Linked DNA regions of Callithrix jacchus. The protein of the gene in region 2 interacts with the protein of the main gene of each other region in a biochemical or structural test. Links are inferred from orthologs where the notes say so. Each region holds a gene or a part of one and is shown on either strand. Other genes may lie near its edges.

Region 1 (4,237 bases), about 9.7 Mb from region 2:
ACTACCCATATCCAGTGTTTTGTAATAAAAATGCCTTATGGTTTTATAGCAATTTTGAAATTGTTTCTTATAACAGTTCTGCTAGGTGTACATTATTACGCTCATTTAAAGAGAAGGAAACTGAAGTCTAAAAAGTTGAGTCAGTTCACCTATAGTTACAATGAGTCACTGTTACACAAGCGATTATTTTAACCCATCTCCAGTGATTTTCCCCCACCACACCTACTCTACACTCTGCTTCTAATGCTTTTTCAGGGAGAAAAGGACTCAATGTTAAGACTGGGGACAGGAATCAAGACTGCGGTCCTGTCTGATTCCTGTCCCCAGTTCTAGTTGCCAGGTCCCAAGAATGATGTCATCTAGGCACTGTCTCTAGAACCATTCGTTCTAAGCTGGAACTTAGATGAATGAAAGTAGGCTCCTATTATAAAATTATGATCTTGATTGCCCTGGGCCTACTCAACTGTACATTTTTTCAGAGCCAGAAAGGCTTCATAGAGGACAATCACTTTACCCTGAAAAGAGCGAGCCCCTTTGGTCAGTGGTCCTCAACTCTGACTCACCTGGGAGCTTTATAAAAAGTACCAATTCCCAGGCCCAGCGGTGGAGATTTTAATTGGCTTGGGGCCCTGGCATCAGTATTTTTAGAGGCTCCCAGGTGATTGCAATGCGCAGCCAGGCTGAGAATCACTGCTGAGTAAATGGGATGAGTAATGGGAGATCAAATACTCACTTTAACTTCTCAAGCACCTATTCTGGAGACCAGTGGGGTAGAAAGATAGAAATAAAAGGTAGAAAGGGATGCAATGGATAAGTGTGAGTGAATTAGTTCCAGGGAAATGGCAATCTCCACTGTGGATTCAGGGAGAGCGTCACTGAGGACGACTTTCTTTTTTTTTTTTTGAGACAGAGAGGACGGCTTTCTTAACATTCAGGTCAGTGGAAGCCAACTTGAGGCACATATCGTGCGCGGCGTCCTCCGAGGAGCTCGGGTCATTTTACCCCACTTTACTGCCGAGATGACCTAGGTGCAGAGACGGTAAAGAGCGGTGTACGATTCACACAAGTCGGAAGTCCTGTGAACTGAGGTTGAGCCTGGCGGGTGCAAGGCTCGGGGTGTTCGGCCCGAGGTCTTTAAGTGAGGTCTCTGAACTCCTCGTTCAAAGCCCAGAGGTTGGTGAGCGGTAGGCTCTCGGCCTCAGGCCTGGAGAAAACCCAGGGGGTTGAGGGGTCAAATCTCAACCTCGCTCCCGCGTCCAGCTGGAGGGACCGAGCTGCTCGGCCCAGCCTCCGGACTAAACAAAGTTCGTTACCCGTGTAGCAGTCTTTTGCCGCTTCCGGGCGAAGAGGTTAGCAAGAGTGAAACCCTCCACTACGCGACGTCGTGGTAACGTCACTTCCGCGCGCCGCCCCAAACGTCAGTGTCGGGCGCAGACCGCGGCGGTGCGGCTTTCTCTTCGAGGTTCCGTCTCGGTTGTCTTTTGCGAGCCATGGAGAGTGACTTTTATCTACGTTACTACGTGGGGCACAAGGGCAAGTTCGGCCACGAGTTCCTGGAGTTTGAGTTCCGACCAGACGGTAAAAGCAGCCTGTAGCCTGCCGGGAGCGGGGACCAGGGATAAGGGCGGGCTACAGGCTGCCCGGAGTCGGGAGGCGGAGGGTCGGAAATCAGTGTGGAAAGACAGGAGGAAGGGACTGAGACCTGTGCAGCGAGAATCTGAAAGGAACGCCCCTGTGTCTGCTCCAGGGTTTTTTTGTTTTTGTTTTTTTTTAATCCATTTAACCAGTGTTGACCTTACGCTCACTGTGTGCCAGGCTCTGTTCCACTCTTTGGGGAAACGGCAGCGAAGGTAGACAAACTTCCCCTCTCATGGAATTTGTGTTTTAGTGCCGGGAGAGAGATCATAAACAAAAAGATGATTCCAGATAGTAGTGAGTGATTAAAAAAAAAAAGGTAGAATAATTGCTGGATGGGCTGCTTTTAGATAGGTTGACCATTAGAGCTCTCTGTAAAGGGTATATTGCAGCCGATCCCTACTTAACAACAAGGACCCAGCCTTGTGAAGCTCAGGAGGAAGACCATTCCACCCAAAGGGATTGGCAAATGTCAAGGCTGCAGGGCGGGAATGAGCTAGGCATGCCTCTCAAGTGGTCAGTGTGGTTAAAGAGTGATAAGGTGAGAGATAGCAGGAGATGACGTCAAATAGGTAGGTAGGAGCCACACCTTGTAAGTCTTTAAAGACCATGGTAAAAGCTTTGGACTTGAAAGGTTTGTTGTTGTTTGGACTTGGAAGGGTTGTTGTTTGTTGTTGTTTTGAGATGGAGTTTCGCTCTTTTTGCCCAGTCTGGAGTGCAGTGGCACTATCTTGGCTCACTGCAACCTCCGTCTCCCGGGTTCAAGAGATTCTAAGCCTCCGCCTCCCGAGTAGCTGGAATTACAGGCACCCACCACCACACCCGGCTAATTTTGTATTTTTGGTAGAGATGGGGTTTCACCATGTTGGCCAGGCTGGTCTCGGACTCCTGACCTCAGATGATCCGCCCACCTTGGCCTCCCAAAGTGCTGGGATTGCAGGCGTGAGCCACTGCTCCCAGCCGGACTTGGAAGGTTTTAAACAGAGAAGAAATGGGATCTGTTCTTGAAAAAGCATTCTGGTTATTGGGTGCACAAGGGCAAGAGTGGAAACAGGGCTATTGATTAGGAGGAGACTGTTGCAGTTGTCAAGACAAGAAAGTTATTGGTTGGGACTACGGCAACAGTAGAAATGGAGAGGATGGTTTAGGAAACTGTTGGAGGCAGAAACAGTTGGACTTTGCTGATTGATAGGATCTTGTTGAGGGGGCACTGTGGTGAAGGAAAGAGGAATCAAAGATAACAGAAAACATCCACTAAGTGGGGCACAAAGATGAAACTGACAGGCCTCGACTGTGAGGGAGATAGATTTATAAGCAAACAGTGATGAAACAGTGTATTGGGTGTTGTGGTAAAAAGAAACAGAGGAGGCTCGCAGCAGAGAAGAGGCACCTAACCAAGCCAGAGGGTCAGAGAAGGCTTCCTACATAAAATGATGTGGGAGAAAGGGATGTGAGGAATTGGTTAGGAGACCAAGAGTCAAGAAGGCATTTTAGACAACATGCAAAGAGGCTGAAAACCAAAAAGTGCTTGGGATGTTTCAGACAGAATACCAAATAGTTTGACTCCAGCCATGTGAGAGAAGAATATTGCAGGAGTGAGGCTAGAAAAGCAGGCAGGGGCCAGCTTAGCTGTATGCCATGTTGAGGAGTTTGGATTTTACCAGGAAGGCAGTGGAAAGCCATTAACTGTATTAAAATATTAGAGTAACCCAATCTGATAGGTCTGTTACCACATCACCGCGTCCACCGTATGGACAGTGAACTGAATGTGAAGAAACTTGAGGCAGAGACACAACACAGAGGCTGTTGGATAAATTCATTTGGCTCATCTCACATGTATGTCTTCTAGTCTACGGCAGGAGAAGTCATGTCTTCTATTTACTTTTATCTTCCCCTCATCCCCACCATATACTCACATTAACCTATTACATGCACCCATGGACAAAGGGTCTGGTGTACCAAATATGCTCAGTGATAAAAGCAACAGCTTTTCCATCACAGAAATAGAGGGTGGCACAGTCACATGATAATATATGTAAACAGCATCCTACAGTTTTCAAAATGTTTTCACAACTCATTTGAGCCTCAGGAGGTCCTATGTACGGGTAAGTTATCAATTACTATGCCTGTTTTCAGGATATTAACCTGCAAAAATGTGATTTGACAATGTCAGAAAAGAGCCTGCTTGTGTTTATATCTCACCTGAGCTGCGTTTTGCAGTAGAGTGTCAGCTGTATATTTGGCTGTTTAAGCCTGAAGTGAACTGAAAAAGACTAGTATTGTTGATATACCATAAGAGTAAATAATAAATCTATTAGACACTTTGAGCAAGTTAGATACATTTTAGGGAACTGCTGATAGTCTTGGTATGTATTGATGCTTTTATTCATATGTTTTTATTATACATGGAATTTGTTTTTTGCCCCCACAGGGAAATTAAGATACGCCAACAACAGCAATTACAAGAATGATGTCATGATCAGAAAAGAGGTATGAGTCTTCTGCCTTCTGAGAGTCCTTCATTTGCTACATTTCAGCTTTTTGTCTTGCATTTTTTTGTTCTTTCTGGTAGTACTGAAAGGTAGAGAACAGGGAGAAAAAC
Region 2 (3,644 bases):
TTTTGAGGTTTATCTGAGGGCCCTGGAAAGGCTATGGCATCAGAGCCTGAGTAAGTGCCACCTCACTTCAATGGCCTTAGGGCTCTTGGTCTGGCCAAGGAAAAGAATCTATTCGGTCCACTTAAACCAGAGGACTCTTGCTTAGGTAGGGCAGTGCCCAGCATGCTATGGAATGGCCCAGCAAGTCACTAGCAGGGCCCATAGGAGGAAACAGTATCGTAAGGCCAAAAACAAGAGCCTCATCCCAGCAAAGCTCTTCCACATGGACACGGACTCAGCAGAGAGCCAAGCTCAGGGCTGAGGACTAGTTCCCATCATCTGGACATGCCAAGAAAGAGGGAAAGCAATCAATGTGTCATCCCATGGTCCAGTGGGAAGGCAAAGCCCGAGGAAGGAATGGCTAAGATTGGGATGGCATAACAGGTATAGAAGCCATCCTGTCCAGCAAGACAACCAACAAAGCCCAACAGATAAGATGTTGGACACTTCTGCCTCCAGTTCTGATGATTCCTGAGGCAAGAATATGGCATGCACCTGGAGCTCCTACCCAGGCTTCTCCACTCTGAGGAGGATGTGGTGCAAAACCATCTGCCTAAGACACCACTAAGTAGCTGTGTGATCTTGCGCAAGCCACAATGCTCAGTTTCCCCATCTGTAAAGCAGATAATCTCTGCCCTACTTCCCTCTCTAGGCTATGAAGAGCTGCCGACAAATAAAGCCTATCCCTTTGGTATCTGAACCCTGAGTTATTTAAGTCCGAGAAAGTGAGGCCCAATGTGCACCCTGCAGGTTTGATGTTCAGCAGCCACCCTGCTAGAGGTGGGCCAGACAGAGAGAAGGAAAGGTTCCAAGGGCAGAGAGCCCTTCCCCTCCTTTGTTTAACAGTGTCTGCAGCCTGCTGTATTCTGGCCTCATTCTGGGCACTGGGGATGCAGAGAGAAGAAACTCAACCCTGCCCTTGGAGGGGCTTAGTCTAGTAAGAGAGACAGACATTGAAAGCTGATTGTTGTGTGTGCTCAGTGCTGTGTCAGCAGTGTGTACAGGATGCAGTTTCGGTACAGTTAGAAGTACCCAATTCCACCTCTGAGAAATTACTCTGAGAAGTGATTCAGTCTTCCTCCTTTCTGAGACATGAAGGAGTGAGAGTTCACCCAGTAAAGGGCCTAGGACATTCTAGTCAGAGGCACAAGGCACAGGTATCAAATGGGACACAGTAAGGAAAGGGCAGTGTGGCTGGTATTTTGGAGTCATGAGGATGCCAGCAGGAGAGGACATTAGAGGCATGCCAGAGCCTTGTCATGTGGGTGGGAATGAAACAATAAGCTGAGGGCAATGGGAACAACGAAAGGGTTTTAAGCCTGGGAAGACAATTTATGAAGATTATAGCTGCAGTGTGCAGAACAGATTGGAGAGAAGGGGAGATGTCAAGAAAACCCGCTAGAAGGTTGTTGATAATCCAGGTGAGACCTTAAACGCAGGCAGTGGCCACGGAGGTGGGTAGAAGTGGGCCGACGTGGAGAGAATCAGGAGCCAGGATCGATGGGGCTTATCCTAGATTGGGTACAGGGAGTGGGAGAGGTGGAGTTGAGGATGACCACACCAGGTTTCTGGTTCAGGTTTCTCCCCAGTTTGGACTTACTCCATGGCCCACAGGAACAGAGGCCAGGATCATGAGACCACTGAGGTTATAAGCTAAGAGTATTCTGGGTACCAACTGAGGCCCCTGGTGAGCCTCAAACCTGTGACCATGAATCCAGGCAAGGCTCACGAGGCAGTGCTGTTTTTTTGTTTTTGATTTTCCAAATTGGAAGCCTGGATTAGACAACATGAGAAGCCTGAATAGAAGCCCCTGCTCCCAACTCTCTCAGGCAAAGGGTCACAGGGAATGGAGGGCTAGGTCTACAGCCAAAGGTACTTGACTTCTGGCCTAGAAAGGACTAAGCCTTGATGCAGGGAAAGGAACCAGCAGTCTCTGAGTACTTCATTGTGCAAAAGCCCCTGAACCAGGGGCCCAGAAGATGTGACTTTAATACCTGTAAACAATCGTTTCAAGTATATGGTATCTCCGTTTCACAGATATGGAAATGAAGGCTTAGCAAAGGTAAGTGACTTGCCCAAGGACACACAACTAGTTGGTGGTGATGAACTTAGAATCTGGGTCTAGCTGACTTCAAAAGCCCGTGCTCTTTCCTCTTTTCATTATATCCCAAAGTAAAGGAGCCCGCCTAGTGCCCCAAGCCCCTCAAGCCTCTGCCCACCTCCCACCCCCACTTCCTTCTTCCATATCCAGACTGGCCCTGAGCCCAGCAGGCCAGTAGAAGACATCATTCACCCTCTTATCCACTTCAACCTAAGGTTTCAACTATTTGTAAGGTGCTGTGCTTGATTACACAGGTTTCCCATCAAGTCCCACATGTGACTCAGGGGACAGAGAAGAACAAAGTGGGCAGCTTTGGCTCCCCATTTGGGGAAGCAGAGGCAGTGGCAGTGGCGGCAGCAGCAGAGACCCTGGTCAGGACCTACCTTGCTGGAAGAGAGTAAGTGTGACGGAGGTGACGAGCAGGAAGAGGGCCTCAATTGGGGGAAAGTGGGCAGGCTCATGAGCAAAGATGTGGACCAGCTACAACAAAGCAGGGAATGCTGGTCAGCTGAGACCCAGTCTCACTGGAATGCAAGTGGGGCAGTATCCCTGGAATGCAAGTGGGTACCCCAGACACAGCAGCTACCTGACCCACCCCCACCCAGGGTTAGGATTTCTGCCCCAATCAGAAGGCCCACCTGTCGAGTGAGGTCAAGAGCAGAGGCCTGGGGGATGGTGCTGTACATCCGACCCAGCATCTCACACAGCTGTGGCACCATGGGGGCAAAGTCATCCAGCAGCGTCTTAACCGACTTCTCAAAGATAGCGCACACCGCCTTGGAAAGAAAGCAAAGGGACCCTGGTCAGCAGGTCACGATTAACTGGAACAGCGCTGAAGCCCCGCAGAGCGGGCCTAAGATCGGGCCCTTACCTATAAGCCTTGCCGGGGCTGCAAACCAAGGACGGTAAGCAAGTCTGACCCTTATTCTGGCAGGGGGCAAAGGCCCTTCACTGAGGGGCACAGGATGGAACTGTGGAACTTAACTCCTGCTACTTACATCTCCACCATTTCCTCTCAGGGAGCAGCAATGGCAACAAAAACCTGAACTGAAAACGGACCAAAGGCAGGTTTCTGATGCCAAAACAGATGGCTGGCTGTCACTCAACCCTAATATTACAGTCCCTGAGTTAAGCATTTCTCACGATACTGGAGAGTTCTGAATGACTTCCCAAAAGATTCCTTATCTCTATGCGGCAGGATTTACCTCCCCTGTTTTCTCCAAACCATTGCAAAGTGAAACATGGCAACATCTTACTCCTGCTACACCTCCAAGAAGTAACTATGGAGCAGAGGGCAAGGGCCAGGGCTCACCTCCACCACCTGGGCATCATTCAACCATTTGCTCAGCACCTTCTGGATAAGCTGGAAGACCTGCTGCAGCACCACCACCACCTGAAGACACAGGAAGAAGTGAGGTGCTTCTGCTATCGATCACTGTGACCCACTTGAGAAGGACTTGGTAGCAGGGAGGAGGGGAATTCAAACCTATTACCCCAGAATGCA

The links. The genes of interacting proteins can lie anywhere in the genome.
Region 1: the proteins of IPO13 (region 2) and MAGOH form a complex in vitro, tested with the Homo sapiens proteins (2 studies listed by BioGRID and IntAct). The link is inferred for Callithrix jacchus from reciprocal best matches to the Homo sapiens genes IPO13 and MAGOH.

What each region holds. Positions count from the first base shown.
Region 1 is NC_133508.1:90,378,518-90,382,754, reverse strand, and holds the start of MAGOH (protein mago nashi homolog), read left to right. Parts: upstream 1-1,420; 5' UTR 1,421-1,490; coding exon 1,491-1,578; intron 1,579-4,066; coding exon 4,067-4,125; intron 4,126-4,237. UniProt on the Homo sapiens protein: Required for pre-mRNA splicing as component of the spliceosome. Plays a redundant role with MAGOHB as core component of the exon junction complex (EJC) and in the nonsense-mediated decay (NMD) pathway.
Region 2 is NC_133508.1:80,629,019-80,632,662, reverse strand, and holds part of IPO13 (importin-13), read right to left. Parts: intron 3,534-3,644; coding exon 3,453-3,533; intron 2,917-3,452; coding exon 2,779-2,916; intron 2,621-2,778; coding exon 2,524-2,620; intron 1-2,523. UniProt on the Homo sapiens protein: Functions in nuclear protein import as nuclear transport receptor. Serves as receptor for nuclear localization signals (NLS) in cargo substrates.